2 linked regions of the Diceros bicornis minor genome follow. The protein of the gene in region 1 purifies or fractionates together with the protein of each later gene. This does not show direct contact. Links are inferred from orthologs where the notes say so. Each region holds a gene or a part of one and is shown on either strand. Other genes may lie near its edges.

Region 1 (9,665 bases):
GCCTGGGTGGATCAACAGAAACACTAGACAAACCTAGAAACAAATTAAATAAACGAATGTAGTTGCCCCTGAGTCAGACCCAATAGGAAACACCTTCCATAAACAATGCACACTCTATACTTTAAAAGGCCTCTTCAGCAATTCATTGTGTAAAACTGTGAATTTACTTTTCACCATTCCCAGTAAAAGTTCACAAGCTGTGTCATAACAGGAAGAATGGGCAGATGGTCATAAACCAACACAACAGTTCTGCAATTCATGGAGCTCGGGTGGAGTTCCTGTTTTCCTGCATTGCCAACTTCAAGGTCTCACAAAAGGATATGGGACATTGAAATTAAATGAACCTTCATCTGATGATCTCACTCCCTTGGGAAAGGACCCACTGACATTTCTTATAAAACATAGGATGCACACATTCAACTAAATTGCTGATTAACGAATACTACTTAGAGACATTTCTATATAGTTCATCCATGTACCCTGAAGGGGGTGGGAGTGTCCGTGACCTTGTCTTATTTTCCTTTACCAATTTTCGAGTGCACTTCCTCTGGTAACTGAACTGCCAAGGTTGAAAGACTGTACACTAAAACTAGGGGAGAGGAATTGAGGGAAAGAAAACATTTTCCAATGTCATATAATATGCCTATTAACATACTTTTCCCCAAAGAGCGGGACTAAAAAGAGTGTAACGCTAATGAATTACAATTGGGGAATCTCAACTTATTAATCAAAGCTCTGAGCTCCTCTTGATACCAAGCTTGGAACACAAGAAACCTGTCTTTACCTAAAAATACCATGAAATCAATTCTTCACCATGGGTCACTCCACAGCAAGAAAACTGAACTCTCTGTCAACTAAATGGGAAGAGTTCCCAGGTATTGAAAAAGCATCAAAGAAAGAAAAGCTGTCTACCATGCTAGGGCCTTAACTGATATCCAGATCTTCAAACACCACCTTAAAAAGTGAGTGATAGGCGCCAGCCCGGTGGCGTAGTAGTTAAGTTCATGCGCTCCGCTTCTGCGGCCAGGAGTTCACAGGTTTGGATCCTGGGCACCGCCCTATACACTGCTCATCAAGCCATGCTGTGGCAGCATCCCACATACAAAATAGAGGAAGACTGGCATGGATATTAGCTCAGGGACAATCTTCCTCAGCAAAAAGAGGAAGATTGGGAACAGATGTTAACTCGGAGCCAACCTCCTCACACACACAAAAAAAGTGACTGACGCTGCGTAAGCATCCGAGCTTAATATGACCCTTCACTCACATCAAGTAAGAACAAATGACTCTCTAGGCCTAAACTGGCATTGACCTTGTTGGGTAAATAAGAGAGTATCAGCAAATATGAGAGAGTATAAGCAAATATCCAGTGCAAATATCCAATGCATTGAATCTGTGAACTCTAAAGCTGCAGGCAAAGTGAACAACTGATCAGGCATGTTCTCACATACTCACCCAGAGTGCAAAAATAGGTTGCTGACATAACTGTATGTTTGTTGATCAATATCATAGTAAAAAAAAAAAAAAAACCTAGAAATTAAGTTATATCAGTAAATTTCAGGAACTAATTGGCATTGATACTGACTTGTGTTTGGGGCAGGAGTTCTTAAGCTTTAGCATGTGTCGGAATGTCCCTAGGCCTACAGATCTGCATTTTAACAAGCAGGTCGATTATACACGGTCTGTGGGCCACTCTTGGACAGCTATTGGCCTGGGTGGCCATGCTCAGTTAATCAGCACAGCGCTTTTCAATATGAAGGAAGCAACTGCCCCCAAAGCAAGCCAACAATAAAGCAAAATGTTTAAAAGTAAAAGAAAAGCCTTCCAATAACGGAGTCCCACTTTACCCAAGAAAAGAAAAATGAAAACAATTCATTTGGATGAGCACAGATACCAAAGTTGACTGGGAAACACTAGGTTGAGAAACATGTTGAAAACACTAACTTACACTAACTTATTATACTTTGCACAACGATCAAATGAGAAAGAACCCATTATTTGGGCACATTCATGTGAGAAAAAAACGGTAGTAAAAACTAAGCTCTAAATAAGCTATGCTCTCCCCACCACCAAAACAAGAGATTCTTGAAGATCTCTCACAAATTATCGCCACAGATTATCTCACACTCTAGACATACTTTCCAATGTAAAAAAAAAAAAAAAAAAGATATGTTCTCCATTCATAGGAAGCCAAGACAACACCATACTATTCCAGAGACATGTCTCCAACAAAAAAACTATTCAACAAGGCTATCAATAACAACTTCAAATTCATATCTGTAGACCAACAGTCAATTTTTTTGCTCCATTAAGCTTCATTCATTTTCATTGGCAAGTTTGAGTTCTACTCTTCAGAAAGTTCTAAAGAAATAACTATAAGAAGTACATATGCTGCTACTCAATAAAAAGCCCTTCTATGTTCAAATCCCATAACCAAAATTAATTAATTTGTGCACTATTACCCTTCCAGCTCAAAGACGGGAAGGAAAAACAACAGTGCCTCTGTCTCTAGAATTTGATGGCACCAATTATAGCCCAATCCAATTAAGCAAGTCACACACTCCAAAGGGCAACCTCATCGTTATATTCAGGGCAACCCGTTACAGTTACTGCTGCTGCGCTATGAAACACCCCAGGCTTAAAAGCAACTCACTTCTTTGTGGGATACAGAACAACCACACGTTCCAGACTTTCATTCTCTCCCATTAAGGGGGAGAGAGAGGTTGTCAGGGACAAATGAGTGTCCATGGTGGAGCTGGCCCTGATGAACCAAGTCATTATTAAGAAAATTCAATAACTATAGACAGATGATCTGGGTACTGTATATGAGTGTGCGTGTCTTTTTTTTTTTTTTTTGACATGTGATTCTTTCCTTTCGATATAAGGAATTTTTTTCCCTGAATTATTTGACTTCTTTTTTCCTTTCTCCACCCTCTTTCCTTTCTCACCGTCCAAACAGTGGAAATCTGGAAATCAGCAGACTGTGGCTATAGAAAAGAAAGAGAGAAAGAAAGAAAAGAAAGAATTTATTGCATCAAGAGCATATGTGTTCCAAGTCTTGAAGGAGACTGAAATTTTAGGTGGCAAGGAGAGTGACGAGTGGCGCTCATTCTAGGTACCAAGTCTCGCAGAGTAAGTTTTCAGAACGTGAACTTCTGACCATGCGCTTACCCCAAGGACCAAAGCGTTTTGAAAGATGTTAAATTGTTTTACAAAGCTGACTGTTACTTGGAGACACTTTGGGAAGCTGTCACAGCCCTGGGTCCAAGCCCCAATTTCCCCTTCTCTCTGCGAAGAGAACGGCATCCTGCGCCAAGGGGAAAAAAAGTTTCCCTCCCCCTGGACCCCACCACATACAGTCGGTATGTGAGTTCGAGCGAAAGGGAACAGCCGACCGGGGTTCCTACAGCTTGACTCCTACAAAGGCGGACTGAGTGCACGGTGCGATCCGAGCGAACTGGCTTGCGCTCCCTGCAAGGCCTTCTTCCCCGCGCCCGGGCTAGGATGGGGCGCGCAGCCTGACAACTGTTCACCTCCTGTTCCCGCCTGCGGGCACCTCCTGCCTGCCAGCCCGGGGCGCCTTCCCACCTCCGCCTCCCGAGAGCCCGAGGGTGTGTTGGCTCCGCAGGACTCGCTCCAGCCGAGGCCCCTGTAGGAGACCAGAGTCATGGAAAAGGAACTGGGCTCAGGAGACCACCAACTAGCTGAGTAACCCTGGGCCAGTCCGCAAGCCTCAGTTTCCTCACTGGTAAATGAAAGAACACAAAGTGTCAAGTCACTTTCCACGCTCCAGCTCTATGATTCTGAGTTAGATCCGGCCTCCGGGTCCTCTCTGCATCCCCGTCTCTCCGCCCGCACCCGACGTCTCCGCCTTCCTTCTAGGGAGTGGGCTCCTTACCCACAGAGGCAACCCGGGTCTCCACGCAGAGCCACAGAGCGATGGCCAGCAGCGCCTTGCCCTCCATCTCGCACCTCGCGCCGGGCGCAGTGCCCAGAACTCGGACGCCGGTTCTCTCTCCCCGGGCCTGCCCCGCGAAGAAGGCGCGGAGGTGGAACGCGCGCCGCAGCGCAAGACGCCGCAGCGCACGGCGCGAGGGTGCCCCGGCTCCGGCCGCGGCCGCAGGGGTGTCTGCGGGTGCCGGTAGGAGAGGATATCCCGGCTGCAGGATGGCTGTGGGCTTTCTGTAGCGCGCAAGTGATGCCCCGCGCGGGCAGAGGATACACAAAACACCCACCGCCTGCTCTCCCGGGGTCCCGGGACTCAGTGCAGGGTGGGAGCGGGAGCCGAAACTCTAGAGCGCGGGGGCGGGGCTATGCGGGGCGGGGCCGGGGCGGGGCGCCCCTCTGCGGCCGGCCCCGCCCCTCAGCCGGGTACCCGGCCAGGATCCCGCGCTTCCCACGCTCGCTGTTTCTTCCTATCTCCCCAATTGCCCGGGACCGCGCCTGGCTCCGAGTCGCCCGAGGGAGAACGTCCCGGGCGCTACAACTCCGTTTCTGGCGGAAATAAAATGTAGCCCGTAACGGATCCTGAGCCACTCCAAAGTTCAGTCGGTTGCTGGCCCCCGAGGTATTGGGGAGCAACACCGGGAGCGCAGCGAGGGCCACTGCGCCCTCAGGAGGCGCGCCGAAGTTTGAGACGCTCTTCGGCGCGGCGCGCGCCTGAAGTGGCTGCGGGACGGGCGGAGGATCTGCAGCAGGTTGAAGCAACGCGGGAGAAGCGGATACTGAGCCGAGACGAATGCAGGATCGCAATCTGGCAGTGACTCCAGCCAGTACGAGTGTTTTGCTTGGCCAGCACAGTTGTAGTTTAAAAAATCTGAATCTGAGTGCGTTTGGTCAGAATATATACCTGCCCAGTTCTCCCAAGTTCCTGCTATTTCCTCTTAGACCTGGTGGCTTCGAATGTTACGTTAACTGCCCAGCCTCAAAAGGCATTTAAATCTGAGACCCCCTATCTGGCTTTCGTCAAAAACGTCCTTCAGGCCACCGGGGAGCTGGAGGTACCCAGGGCTCTGGCGTACCCGCGGCGTGACGGTCACCCATCCCTCGAATGAGGCCCTCCTTGAAAAGGGCTTTTGTCCACTGAGTTACCTGACAAGACTCCCCTAGCGTGACTCTTGTTGGGCCTTTGGCCAGGCCCCTTTTCAGAGCAGCGCTTCCAGCCAAGATATCCTTAGGCCAAGGGGGAGGAGGACCAGCCGCGGTGGGCTTCACTGGAGAAGCAATGAAGCGACGGCTCCCAGACCCTGGGCACCCAGAACACTCTGTACCAAACCTCACAGCTCTCTCCGCACGTGTCCTTGTGGCTCTGTTTGGAGGAGAACTCGGATTCCTTTCTGACCACATTTGCTCGTTCTCATTTTCTCTCCATTTCTCCCCACACCTGGGCAGTGACATCAAATGTCCCCTAACTTCACTAAATAGAGATCTTCCAGATCCCTCTGTCTCTTCCTTCCCAAGTGCTTTTTAATGACAACTTAAAGGACTATCCTTCAGGGAGATGAAGAGGTAGAATTATTATTTTACATCTAGTCCCAGCCCCTCCTCCTGAAATACACAATTAATGTAAAGTGTTGCTTTTCTTCCGCTATTTTTTTATATTTACTCTTCTATTTGCCAGGTTGACAATTGGAATACTTTAACTCTGAAATATAATGAATGTATATGGTTTAAAAAAATTCTAATATAAAAAGGTTTAGAATGAAACACGCATCCTTTGGCAGAGGTAAGCATTTTTACTTTTCCTTTTTTCCAAGCAAATTCTGTGCACATATAGGTGTATCACCCTCCTTCTTCCACAAAGGGTAGCCTTGGTGTAAATATTGTTTAAGCATTGGCTTTTTTCACTTTAAAATATAACTTGGAGACCATTCTACATCAACTCTTAAGGCTTCTTCTTGTTCTTTTTAGTAGTGGCATGGTGTTCCACTGGATAGATGTATTAATATTTAATCTCAGAGGTATTTATTTGTCAGGGGCAGGAGTATCCTTAAAGAAACTCCTCTCTTCCTGCTGGTAAACTTAGCAAAGAAAACAGGATGAGCTCTGGCAAAGTTGGATAAGGGGGAGGGAGATGGAAGCTGGTTTGGAAAAGGCAATTTTTCCCCACCTCCGTCTCCAAACAATTCTTCTCTCAGCCTTATTTACAATTCATGACACTTCCTCTTCCACGTCTCACTTAAGAAGATAGTGTCTCCTCTGAATGCAAACCAGAACCTGCAGGCCCTGTGGTAATAGCCCCCTTTAGAAGTCTTGGAGGAAATGATGCGTCTTTGATGGCCGCAAGACCAGAATTTGGCAGGGTCTCAATGAAATCAGTCTACCACATTCCCTCCCACACAGCACTTAGAAGTGCCTTGTGTTCGTGAAAAATGACAAAGTTTGTTTAAAAACAAAAGAGTCTGTTCCATGTACAACACCCTGCCATTATCTGGCACCACTGCAAAGGAGTGATGTTGTGAGTTAATCTAGCAGTGCAGGTACGACCACCACCTATCAAAGTGCTCAAGTGTGCTCAGTGCTCCATATGGGATTCAGACACGTTCAGGGGTGAAGCAGCAAGGAGTGGTGCTAAGTGCACAGACTCTGGGCTTGACTCCCACATCTACCCCTTCCTATCTGTGTGATCTTCACCAACTTACTGGTTGTGTGTCTGCCAAAACAAAAGATGAGAATAGTACCTTCTTCGTAGGGTTTTTGCAAGAATTAAATGAGTTTCTGCAGCTGAGGCACTTAGAATAGGACCTAACTCCTGGTAAGCATAGGTGCCTAGCACATAGTAAGCACCCGATATACATTAAGAAGCATTCTGCAAAGGTTAGTTATACTACAATGCATGGTCTCCTTTGTGCCGCTGAGCTCTAAACTGCAAATAAGTCTCATTCCTTCAACAGCAGCTTTTGAGCACCTACTATGTGCTAGGCAATGTACTAGAAACTAGGGTTACAATGGTGAAAATAAAGGCAATATGAGCATAAATGAACTGTCATCACAATAGCTCCATCCTAGGGAAAATTTAATTACACAGTATTCTGTATCTCCAGCTACTTCTCTGGCCTTTGTGCATACAGAATGTACATTGTTTATATCACCAAAGCACACTGCCTAAATCCATGATGCCAAATCTGCTTCCGTCGCCACCAGTATTTTGCACTTCATATCTTAGAAAATAAATATGAAGATAGCAAAACGTTAATAATTGTGGAAGTTGGATGATGAGTACATAAGTGTTCATTTTACTATTCTGTCTACTTTTACATGTTTGAAATTTTCCATAATAAAAAAATTCCTGTTTTAAGTAATTTTAATCAAAGTGATGCCCAGTCTAGTATAATACTACTGACTTTTCCACTGTCAGTGTCCTGACATTACCTCTGGGAAATGGTTGAGGCAGAGAGGCAAGTGGATGGCATTTGCACTTTTTACATCATATATTTCTATAACATTTTTCCAAAACAAGAAAGTATTATTTTTACAAATAAAAAATATAAATCAAGATCAGCTCTCTCTTCTAGTGGCTGTTATATTTTCCAATATTGCCAATTGTGGATTACATGTGTTTACTTCATTCAATTTGTTTCCAATATTTGTTTATGCTGTAACTTACCAGAGCCTGTGACTGAGTACCTTGCCAGATGTTGGCTTGATTTCATAGCCCATCTGTACTCATGACTATCATGCCTCAGGAAATTATGAGCATACTCTCTATCTCTTGTTATCTACCTTCCTTACACACCCTCGTTTATTTTACTCTCTATGTGATTTATATTTTTAACTTAAACTTAAAATATATTTGTATGTTCAAAGGAAAGAAGGCTATGTTACCACAAAGCCAGGCTTGCCTTGGATGTTTCTATCAGTGTTTGGTTTTATTCATAAAGTCTTACATTATTAAATATAAAACAAACTCCCTCATCCTTTTTGTGAAACAGATGAAACAGAACTTCATTACTTGCCACCTGCAGAGGAAAATTTTCAGTTAGTATAAATATGTATGCCTATGTGCCCTCCCCAAATTCTCCCGTATAGGTTCTTGTTATACTAACATAAGGACAAATATGAAAATTTTTAAATGTGGAAAGCATGTAGGTAATTTCAATAACCAACTGAAAATCCACAAAACACCATAGAAGGATGTTAAAAAATAATAAAAGTGGCCAACACTCATTGAGCGCGTCTTTTGAGCAGGCACTGCTCCGAATGCTTCACTTCATCCCTGGCCTCGTCCTTGCAACACCCCATGAGGGCAGCAAGCACTACTGGCAATTGTTAGTAAAGAATAGGAGAAAAGACAAGAAATTACTTATTCTTAAATTAAGAAAATATTCCTTTGTCTTCCTAAAAGTCTTGCAAAAGAAAAAAAAAGTTGTTTTATCTGTTTGCATAGTTTTCTTGCCATTGGTTAGCGATGTGATGAAAGTCAAGATAATCTTTGCTTTTTAGAAGGAGGAGGAGGAGGAGGAGGAGAAGGAGGAGGAGGAGGACCAGAAGGAGAGGAGGACCAGAAGGAGGGGGAGGGAGAGGAGGAGTTCACAATAACTTACAATAACTCAACAGAGAAGATGCTATAATTATTCTCATATAACCAGGGGGAGGAGAGATGAGATTTAGAATGTTTAAGTAACTTTTTCAAAGTCCCGCAACTATAGGAGTTGGAATCAGGATTTAAAGTAAAGGGATATTAAACATCCAAGACAGACTCCTCCAAGCACATACAAACAGTTTCTTGTTGAGAACTGGTCTCTTAGGGATGAGACTGAGTGAAGAGATGCTACCAGCTTCCTCAGCCTTTTCATGATGATCCCTTCCACTTTCTCAGGTGGATGGAAGGCCAAGAGTGACTTAGGAGCATCACTCTGAGATGGGTGACCAGGAAGAATGAAAGGCAGGTAATTAGATCTCTTCCCCAATCCCGCCCAGGAATTCCAGCCAGACTGGATCTTCACCTTCTTACCCAACCCCTGAACCCACTGATCTTCTCCTCCAAAGAAAGGCAGCTGCTCCTATACACATAATCACTTGTGCATTTGGGGCATTTCTTTTCTGCCATGGATTTTTTTTTTTTTTTTGGTCCTTTGGTCTCCCAGAAAACTTTTATTCATCCTTCAATACCCAGCTCAAATGTCCTTCCCAAGTGATATGTTTTAGTTTTTTATTCAGCTGTCTTCTTCAATTGAGAACCTCCCGGAAGAAATTGGCAGAGATTGAATCTTACCTAAGCAGGGAGTTGAGTTTAGAAGGATGGTTGTTAAGGTTTATTAAGAATGGTGAAGTGCATGATGATGATGTTTATTTAGTAAAATATACTTTGTACACTATATACTTATTATCATATTATATATGATAATATAGTCATATGTCTATGTGAATGTTTCTCCCTCAAAAGCAGAAATTAGGTCAAATTCATTTTGTATTCTCAGTACCTAACACAATCTCTGTGCTGACTCACCTCTCAATACATTGATGAATTTCAAATAATTGTTATCATTTTCCTTTCTGCTGCTCTTTGTTTCTCCTTTGCTCCCCCAACCCCCTTCCCACCCCCACCCCGGAATCACATGCCTCTCTAGTTATCTATCACAATTATCTTTACAGAGAGCAACTTGTTGGAATAAATAGAACTATACAATGGCAATATAGACATAAACAGAAAGAGTTCTTCCTTT
Region 2 (10,408 bases), on another chromosome or scaffold:
GACCGTGAAGGGGTTTTGTAAAATGCCAAGGAGCACAGAGAGAGTGGAGCAGCAGAGGAGAGAGCCACGGAGGGGAGATCTGGGTCGAGAAGGCTGGTGGGGGCTCTGCGAGCAGGTAAGGGGGCAGAGAGAAGGCAACCCTGGGCAAAGACCCAGAGGCGTGAGCTGCATGGCTTTACCACCACTGCCTTCACAGAAGCCGGTGGCATGGCTTCCCTGCACCATCCCTGGGCCTCCCACACTCTGGGGAAGAAGGAACAGGAACTCTGGTTTGAGGAGCCCCTACTGTGCACCAGGCACAGTTTGGTGGGCAGGAAACCTTGGTGGGTGAGGAGACAGCCTTTGGAAACAGAGGCCTGGGTCGGAATTTCCGTTCCACCACTGACAAGCTCTGTGATCTTGGGGAGCACTTAATTCTCAGTCTCTGTTTCCCCGTCTGTGTAATGAGGATAACAATAGTGCCGTCCCCCAGGGTTGTCCTCAGGACTGAAAGAGGAGTCCCCAGGGAGAGAGCTCCCTGCACGGCCAGCACACTCAGCTGCGGTCCTTAGACATGAGCATGCAAAAACGTCACTGGAGGAGCTGCAAACATGTAGGTCTCAGGGTTCCGTGACCAGCCATTCTGACTCCACCTGCCTGGGGAGGCCCAGGAATCTGCATTTCAGCCACACTTCCCAGCTGATTCGGAGGCGGGCGACCTGAAGACCACATTTGGAGAAACGCCTGCTCAATAACTGCTTGTTGTTACCGTCATTTATTTTCTGTGTCTCATTTGACCCTCCAGACAGCCCTGCAAAGTGTGACTGGCAGCCCATTTCACAGGTGAGGGAAGAGGCTCAGAGAGGCAAGTCAACAGCCTCAGGTCACACAGCCAGCGATGGGCCAGGGTAGGAGCTGAACCGGGTCCACCAACCCCAAGCCCAAACCTCTCCAAGCAGGGCGTGACAGGGCCCCCTCCCTGGTCAGCTCTCGTTCTGGCAGAGGCTGGGTGGGTGTCCGCAGGCCTCGTTGGTACGGTCCCCAGCCCACCCCCACCGCCCTCATTCTTGCTTCCTCCTCCAGCTGCTAATCAGGTCTCGCAGACCATCCCGTTTCCTGCCGGCCCACCGGCTGCCTCCCCTGCTCCTGATGGCGCTTCCTGGCCTTGTGCCCTCCTGTTACCTCCTTTGCCTCCAGACGTGTTGGAGCAGGGGCTGGGCAGTGGCAGAAATCGGGCATGAGATCCTGAGGAGGCCCTGAGGGGCACTAGCCTCCCTCCCATGGCCTGGACCACCTCTGCATGGCGACCCCACCCCCACCCCAGGGGCACAAGTCTGGATGCCATTCCCTTGTTTACAGATGACAGGAACAGCGGGCTTCAGGGCAGAGTCAACTTCCTCACGGACTGGGAGTACAAAGGGAACCGGCAGATGGTGCCAGGACAGACCCTGTCCCTGTCTGCCACCTGCGCCAGTCTGAGACCCAGCAGGAAGTCATGCCCGGCCAGGCCCGGCCCCGTGGGCACGTAGACTCACGCAGGGCAGGGGTGAGGGGGATCAGGCTGGGGCACCAGGGACAGAGCATGGGCCTGTCCTGGCTCCTCAAGGGCCCTTCCCACCCTCTGGCAGGAGAAGGCAGAGTTAATCCTGTTGGAGAAGGAAAGTCTGAGCCTTTGTTTGTTCATTCCACAAACGGTGATCGAATGTGCTGGATCCCGCTCAGAGGCCGCCTCGGGACGGTTATCCTTCCAGCAGGTCGCTCCCCTTGCTCCAGCATCATCTGGCTTCCTGGCTGCTGGATGCCCCCTCAGCACACAAACACGCCACCACAGCCTCAAAAAGACAACAAAAAGCCTCCCATGTCTCTGCTCCCACCACTGCAAGTCTTGGGGAAGGAGCTGTGATCGCGTGTGCCTCTACTCGCCCATGCCTCCTGCTCTAGCCCGGGCCCTCTAATCCACCCTGTCCGCTCCTCTCCATCTAACCTGCACTGCTCACAGTCATCCATGACCTCCGTCCTCCAAACCCAGCAGTCGAGTCTCAGCCCTCGCTTTTCCCAGGATGACCCAGCTGACACCCCACTGTGCTGGCCCCATGGCCTCAGGGGCCAGCCCTAAGTGTCCCCCCCAACCCCCCCCAACCTCATCTCCAGGCCACCCGTCTCCACCTGTCCCCAACCCTGTCTCCACCCCATCTCCACCTGTCCCCACCTGTCTCCACCCCTGTCTCCACCTGTACCCACCCCTGTCTCCACCCTGTCTCCACCTGTCCCCACCCGTCTCCACCCCGTCTCCACCCCTGTCTCCACCTGTACCCACCCGTCTCCACCCGTCTCCACCCCTGTCTCCACCTGTACCCACCCGTCTCCACCTGTAACCACCCCTCTCCACCCGTCTCCACCTGTACCCACCCGTCTCCACCCGTCTCCACCTGTACCCACCCGTCTCCACCCCTGTCTCCACCTGTACCCACCCGTCTCCACCCGTCTCCACCTGTAACCACCCCTCTCCACCCGTCTCCACCCCTGTCTCCACCTGTACCCACCCGTCTCCACCCCTGTCTCCACCTGTCTCCACCCGTCTCCACCCGTCTCCACCTGTAACCACCCCTCTCCACCCCTGTCTCCACCTGTACCCACCCGTCTCCACCCGTCTCCACCCCTGTCTCCACCTGTACCCACCCGTCTCCACCTGTAACCACCCCTCTCCACCCGTCTCCACCTGTACCCACCCGTCTCCACCCGTCTCCACCCCTGTCTCCACCTGTACCCACCCGTCTCCACCTGTAACCACCCCTCTCCACCCGTCTCCACCTGTACCCACCCGTCTCCACCCCTGTCTCCACCTGTACCCACCCGTCTCCACCCGTCTCCACCTGTACCCACCCGTCTCCACCCGTCTCCACCTGTACCCACCCGTCTCCACCCCTGTCTCCACCTGTACCCACCCGTCTCCACCCGTCTCCACCTGTAACCACCCCTCTCCACCCGTCTCCACCTGTACCCACCCGTCTCCACCCGTCTCCACCCCTGTCTCCACCTGTCCCCACTCCTGTCTCCACCCTGTCTCCACCTGTACCCACCCGTCTCCACCCGTCTCCACCTGTACCCACCCGTCTCCACCCCTGTCTCCACCTGTACCCACCCGTCTCCACCCGTCTCCACCTGTAACCACCCCTCTCCACCCGTCTCCACCCCTGTCTCCACCTGTACCCACCCGTCTCCACCCCTGTCTCCACCTGTCTCCACCCGTCTCCACCCGTCTCCACCTGTAACCACCCCTCTCCACCCCTGTCTCCACCTGTACCCACCCGTCTCCACCCGTCTCCACCCCTGTCTCCACCTGTACCCACCCGTCTCCACCTGTAACCACCCCTCTCCACCCGTCTCCACCTGTACCCACCCGTCTCCACCCGTCTCCACCCCTGTCTCCACCTGTACCCACCCGTCTCCACCTGTAACCACCCCTCTCCACCCGTCTCCACCTGTACCCACCCGTCTCCACCCCTGTCTCCACCTGTACCCACCCGTCTCCACCCGTCTCCACCTGTACCCACCCGTCTCCACCCGTCTCCACCTGTACCCACCCGTCTCCACCCCTGTCTCCACCTGTACCCACCCGTCTCCACCCGTCTCCACCTGTAACCACCCCTCTCCACCCGTCTCCACCTGTACCCACCCGTCTCCACCCCTGTCTCCACCTGTACCCACCCGTCTCCACCCGTCTCCACCTGTACCCACCCGTCTCCACCCGTCTCCACCTGTACCCACCCGTCTCCACCCCTGTCTCCACCTGTACCCACCCGTCTCCACCCGTCTCCACCTGTAACCACCCCTCTCCACCCGTCTCCACCTGTACCCACCCGTCTCCACCCCTGTCTCCACCTGTACCCACCCGTCTCCACCCGTCTCCACCTGTACCCACCCGTCTCCACCCGTCTCCACCTGTAACCACCCGTCTCCACCCCTGTCTCCACCTGTACCCACCCGTCTCCACCCGTCTCCACCTGTAACCACCCCTCTCCACCCGTCTCCACCCCTGTCTCCACCTGTACCCACCCGTCTCCACCCGTCTCCACCTGTCCCCACCCGTCTCCACCCCTGTCTCCACCTGTCCCCACCCCGTCTCCACCCGTCTCCACCTGTCCCCACCCCTGTCTCCACCTGTCCCCACCCCGTCTCCACCCGTCTCCACCCGTCTCCACCCCTGTCTCCACCTGTACCCACCCGTCTCCACCCGTCTCCACCTGTCCCCACCCGTCTCCACCCCTGTCTCCACCTGTCCCCACCCCGTCTCCACCCGTCTCCACCTGTCCCCACCCCTGTCTCCACCTGTCCCCACCCCTGTCTCCACCTGTCCCCACCCCTGTCTCCACCCCTGTATCCAACTGTATCCACCCCTGTCTCCACCAGTCTCCAACTGTATCCACCCCATCTCCAACTGTAGCCACCCCTGTCTTCAACTGTAGCCACCCGTCTCCAGCTGCCAACCTGACATCGCCACTGGGTTGTGTAAGGGCCATCTCAACATCAACGTGCCCCAAACAGAGAAATCTTTATCTCCCCCTCCCCAAAAATATTCTTCCATCCCATTCCCCCTCTCCACACTAGTGTCCACTGACTTACTGAGGGCCCCTGGGCAAGGCCTCTCCCTCTCAGGTCTCTGCCCAGCTGTACAACGGAACAGGTTCGGGACTTCCCAGCCATTCATTCATCCACGGAAACAGAGGGGCAACTAGTCAAAGGACAGACTCCCACTGCCTGCCCTGGGAGACTCCACATCCCTCGGCCTGGGGTGGGGCCCCGGGATCCGCAGTTCATAAAAGCTCCTCAGGACTCTCGTGACTCACAGAATTTGAGCCCCTCCCCCGCAGCATCTTGGTTCTGACGGGCTCTGATCCGGCCTTCAGCTTCACTATCTTTCATGTCCCTCTTCGACTCCCGTTTACCACAATAGCCATGTGAGGTTCAGGCTACGACTTTCCACATTTTACAGATGAGGAAACTGAGGCTCAGGGTGGACATGACTGGCTCATAGTCACATCAGAAGCAGAGCCAGGGCGCTTGACTCCACCTGATTTTTCTAAACCCAAACGACCCCCCAAAGCCCAGTCTGGTGCCTTAGAGCTGGAACCCACGCCCCCTCACTGGGAAGAGGTCGATCCAACTCACAGAGCCAAGAGCTGTGGTCTGTGTCCCACCTCCCACCCACTCCACCCCCGACGCCCTGAAGCCTCCCCATCCCCTGCAAAGTCGGCCCCACCCCAGCATGTCATGGGGTCACCTGGGAAAATCTGGCTCTGGGCCTAGGCTGACCCAGGCTGGATTTTTGGCTCTGCTACGCCCCAGCTGGGTGGACGAGCATCTTCAACTTGCTGAGTCTCAGTGTCCTGAGCTTTATTATAAAATGGGGGTGATGACCCCTGCCCTCGGGGTTACAGGGAGGGTGAACTAAGGCCCTAGGCAGGTGCTGGGCTCAGGACGCCAGAGCTGAGGCCCGGGCCGGGTCCAGGGCTAGGCCTCTGTGAGGTCAGCCTGGCTGGGCCGAGGCAGCCGCCCACTGTGGGGCCTGCCTATCTGCAGCCAGCCCGGCCCTCACAAAGGAACAATAACAGGAAACCATCCCGGGGGAAGTGGGCCAGGGCCAGCTGGAAAACCTGAAGGGGCGGCGGCCAGGCCTCCCTTGCAGGCCAGGCGTGGCTCCCCTCGAGAGCTGTCGGCAGAGCCCCAGAGAGCTCCGGAGCACACTCGGCCCCAGGCAGGCAGGCAGACGAACGGAGACACCTCTCAGCCCACGGGCACGGTGAGTGAGGGCTCCCTGCACCGCGCTCCACCCAGACCCATCGCCATGTGCCCGGGACCGGAAGGTCCTCGGCTTCCCCATCTTAGAATGGTGGTGGTCGGGGTCTCAGGAAGATCCACTCCTCGGGCCAGACTCGGCCTCCTCCTGGTTCAGAGCAGGGCTGGTGCACCCCGTGGAGGCACCGGCCACGAACAGGTGTTCTCAGGGCTGAGGGAGGGGGTGAGGACTCGGCTCTCCCACATGTAGACTCTCCAACTCGGTGTGACTCGAGGGCCCACTGGCTTCCATCGGTGCCAGGCTCAGAGAGGGCAGGATTCTACCCGAGTCGCCCAGCACACTGGGGCGGAGGACTGGCACCCAGGCCTAGGCTCCCCCTCGGTGCCCCTTCCCCGTGGGAAAGGATTAGCCAAGGCCTGGCATCATCCCCTCCCCCAAGGCTCTGGGATTGGGAGAGGAGCTCAGCCCCCCTCCGTTAGCCAGTGCCCCCACTTTCAGAACAGGCAAGCTGAGGCTCAGCTCTGGGCACCTGAGGTCCGGCCTACGGACTCCCCTTCCCGCCCTGCCCCAGACACACAGGACGGCTACCAGCTGTGGAGCCGTGGTCGGGAAAGCGGCCCACCCTTCCCCCCAACACCCAGATAACCGAAGGCTGGGCCCAAGGGACCCCGCAGCCCTCATATTTTAGGGAAGTCTCCCCCAAAAGACTTGAAGGCAGGCGGTGTAGGGTGAGAGCCCAGCCTGGAGACCGTGGTCCTGGCGCAGAGCCCAGCCCCACCACTCGCTTCCTGTGTGACTTGGGGAAAACTCTCCAGTGTCTCCGAACCTCAGTTTGCTTGTCTGAACAATGGACATAGCGAGTCTCTGCAATTTACTGTGGGAACTGGAGCTGATGCGCATAGGAGGCTCTTAACCAAAGGGGCTCATTATGTTATCCTACCAACAACCCAGTGAGTGGGACAGATCCTTTCTCCGCCTCTAGTGGAGGCGGCTGAGCTTCAGAGAAGGTAAGGAAGAGCTGGAGTGGGGAGCTTGTACCCCAGAGCCCAGGCTCCTTCCAGCATCACGCAGCTTCTCCATGCCTCAGCCTTCTCATCTGGGAAATGGAGGAAACGGTCTTTTCATGAGTCACCTGAAGGAGGCAGTGTACACACCTGGCACCGGGAATGGCTCATAGCAGGGGAGTCTTCGAGAAATCATGGCTGAATTTACCTGCCACCCCAGAGCTGACCGTGGCTATGAGTGTCATAAAGGTTTTGACCCCTGAGGTCGGTGAGTCCCCAGCAGGTGAGGCGGAGGGGGTGCAAGTGAGGGGCTATCGACTCAGCTCTTCCTCTGGCCAGCACTTTGGGTAGCTACTCTGCACCAAGCACTGTGCTTGTTCTCCACACCCCTCGATGGACGTTTCTGCCATGGGTGGTGGGCAGATAGGATCCTGACAGGAAAGAAGGGCATTCTAGGGGAGGCAGGAACCCTGGGCAGCTCGGAGGTTTTGGGAAGGCTGTGGCCAGAGGGTTTTTTAGAGCCAGGAGCGCCAGGAGGGCTAGTGATGCTGGAGGCCCTGAGTGCCAGGCCCAGGAGCGCTGGTTCATCTTCAGGCGATGGGGGGCAGTGGGACTGTCCCCCGTCTGGCCTGAGTCCAGCCATCTTTGGGCCCCAGCCTGGAGGGCAGCAGGTGACCTCCAAGGGGCCCAGGCAGCCCTGCCAATTCCGGCTTACTATGGTGAGGGCAGAGGGGTGGCATCCCCCGGCCTTGAAGAGGTTAAGCTGCCCACCATGCAGGCTTGACCTGAGCAATTGTGCTGCTGAACAAGAGCCGGACGTGGGGGCAGGAAGTCAGAGGGGGCTAGGCTTATTTTCTCCCGAAGTTGGATGACTCACAGCTCTGCTGCTGCCTCTGGGACACAAGGTAGACACTGGCCACCAGCTAGGGAAAAACCTTGGGCCACTTGCCCATGTGGACCCATCCCTGCTACATCCGTCACCTCTCTGCACTCCCATGGCAGCCTTGAAGCTACTAAAAGAATTTCCATTTCACAGATGGGACCACAGAGGCCGAGAGAGGCTGAGCAGCCAGTCCAAGGTTACAGTTAGCACAAGGTGGAAGCAGGATATGAGTGAGGCCAGCGCCTCTGACCTCACGGCCCCCGCCACGCTCCATAGCGAAGCTCAGAGAGGGGATAAGTGGAGGAAGATTGAACCTGGCCGTTCAGCCACAGTTGGCTGACAGTTCAAGCCACAGAAGCAGGTATCAGGACAAGCCAGGAGGCCCAATGACCCTGGGGAAGGAATGTTCCAGGAGACAAGTCCTGCCCTCGGGAGCTTGGCTTCTAGCTGGAGAGCTACTGAAAAGCCCATCCTAACCCAGGTCTAAGCTGATGTTGGGTGGAGAAATCATAGAAGGCTTCCTGGAAGAAGAGCAGGAGCCCCAGAGGAAGCTGGGAGGTCTTGGGGAGCCCCTCTGCTCTCTGAGCCTCAGTCTTCTCATCTCTCTAGGGCAGGGAATGGACCTCATTCAGGGACCTCCAGATTGTTTGTCTTGGGCCACAGCGTAACAGTCAGATCCTGGCGGGCGCAGATACGAGGAGGAGGAGGAAGCAGGGCCCATGGGGCCAGGCCAGGCAGGCAGTGAATGAGATTTCCTTCTGGAGAGGCACAGAGGGGAGCAGGAGGTGGGGCCAGGGCAGAACCAGGAAATGAGGCCAGGTGTGAGTCGGCCAGTCGAGCCCACAGCCACCAGGCTGACGAGGGTGAGTGGATGTGGGTCAACAGACCCGCACACTTACTGAGCACCTACTGTGTGCCAGCTTCACCCCCTTGACCTCATTTAATCCTCCTGACTAGGAAGGCAGCTACGGTTGATGAGGAAGCTGGGGCCCACAGAGGGCAAGGGATGGGCCTAAGGCCACACAGCTCCTATGCAGCTGAGCAGGTTCAAACAGGTAGGCCTGTAGGGTTCATTCTATTGCCCCCACTGACTGCCTCACAGCCCCCATCAGAGTAGGGAAGCCCAGAGAAGGCTGGAAAAGGCTCCATAGGGTGGATGTTCTCTCCCCGAACGTGGAGTTGCCCCATTAGGAGACAGGGGAATAGACTGGATGATCTTGGAGCCCAGAGACCCCAAGACAACACAGATTTGTTTCAAATTACAACCCATGAGCTCCGTTTTGCCAGCCCCGCATTCAGAGGCACCCAGCACAGGGTACGTGTGTGTTCACCGGGGACCCATAAGAAGGATAATCTCGTTGTCCTCAAAGGATCAGAATCCTAATGGTGGTGTGTCTGACAATGTGAGGGGCCATCAGAGATGCTGCTGGGGACGAGGAGGAGCTTCCCTGAGTTATACCAGCTATTGCCCCTGCTCTGACCCCCCGAGGTGTTGTCTGCAAATACGCAGATTTGTTTCAAATCCTGTGAGTGAGGAGGGAAGCAGTGACAAGCCAGAGCTGGAGACCGCAGCAGGCTGACATGCAACAGTGGGGACACCGACACCCCAAGGTCAGGGGCCTGGAGTCCATGGAGCTGGATGCTAGGGTGGAGTAGAGACAGACCCAGAACCGGCCTGGTCAGAGACGCTCAGGCCAGGGACAGAGGCTGTGCTAGGGGCAGGAGTCAATCAGAAGACCTGTGGGGGAGCCGGCCTGGGGCTTGAAGAGAAGTAAAGCATTCACTCAGGGGACACGGCAAGGAAGGGCATTCTGTGCACAATGCCTGCTGGACAGAGGAAGAGCACTGTGAATTCCAGAAATGTCTAGTTCTCCTCATGGCTGGAAGGGACATGGAGATGGGGGAGAGGAGAGCCGGAGGGGTGGGCAGGGGACACACCATGCTGGGCCTTCCATGCTGGCCCAGGAGATGGACTTCATCCTGCAGGGGGTGGGGAGCCCGGGGGAGCAGTCGGCAGGGGAGCCACGTGGTCTGCTTTAAGGGGAGTTGAGACAGGGAGGCTGGTGGCAGAACCCTGAGGGGAGGGGATCTGGTCTGGGACCCACAGGAGCAGGTCCCAGGGCTGAACTGAGCCGAAAATTAGGAGAAAGCCCCAGGGGGCCAGCTCATAGCTACCCAGTCCCACTCCCAACACAGCCCCTCCCAGAGGCTCCAGGGCCTCACCCTTCACTCGCCCAGTGTTAGTGGATGCCAAGGCCCAGCTGTAAATGCTGGGGCTCAAGCAGACAACTGGGGAGTCCCTGAAGGAGTTTGGGGATCACTGGCTCCAACCTCTGTCCTAGAATGAGGCTCGAGGTGGTGGGGTGGGAGGGCGGTGGGCAGAGCTGCCCAGGGCCACACAGGGAGCGGGGGCCGCAGCGCTTCCCCTCCCACAGGCACACCTCCTGCATGTTCTGGGCCTCTCCTCCCCCTCCCCGGCCCCTTATCCCTGACCTGGGGCCTCTGGGCTGGAGTCCAGAGCCTGCGGGAGGCTGGGCTAGGACTGAGCGTCCAGTCCGCCCTCTGAGGCTCTGCCTGGGACTGGGCTCCACTGCCAGATCCTGTCCCGGCTGCCGGCGGGTGTGCCGGGCAGGGGCAGAGGGGCCCGCCCCGCGTAGCAGAGACTCTTCAGAAGTTGGCGTAGGCAGTGCCTGGGAACAGGGGCGTTGACTTGTGTAGGCACACAGGGGGTGTTGTGTGTCCATG

The links.
Region 2: the proteins of KDR (region 1) and CDH5 purify together in Homo sapiens (affinity purification with western blotting; 3 studies listed by BioGRID and IntAct, with this or other methods). This does not show direct contact. The link is inferred for Diceros bicornis minor from reciprocal best matches to the Homo sapiens genes KDR and CDH5.

Annotation. Positions count from the first base shown.
Region 1 is NC_080747.1:42,931,314-42,940,978, forward strand, and holds the start of KDR (vascular endothelial growth factor receptor 2), read right to left. Parts: upstream 4,238-9,665; 5' UTR 3,966-4,237; coding exon 3,899-3,965; intron 34-3,898; coding exon 1-33. UniProt on the Homo sapiens protein: Tyrosine-protein kinase that acts as a cell-surface receptor for VEGFA, VEGFC and VEGFD. Plays an essential role in the regulation of angiogenesis, vascular development, vascular permeability, and embryonic hematopoiesis.
Region 2 is NC_080771.1:18,401,701-18,412,108, forward strand, and holds the start of CDH5 (cadherin-5), read left to right. Parts: upstream 1-5,727; 5' UTR 5,728-5,779; intron 5,780-10,408. UniProt on the Homo sapiens protein: Cadherins are calcium-dependent cell adhesion proteins. They preferentially interact with themselves in a homophilic manner in connecting cells; cadherins may thus contribute to the sorting of heterogeneous cell types.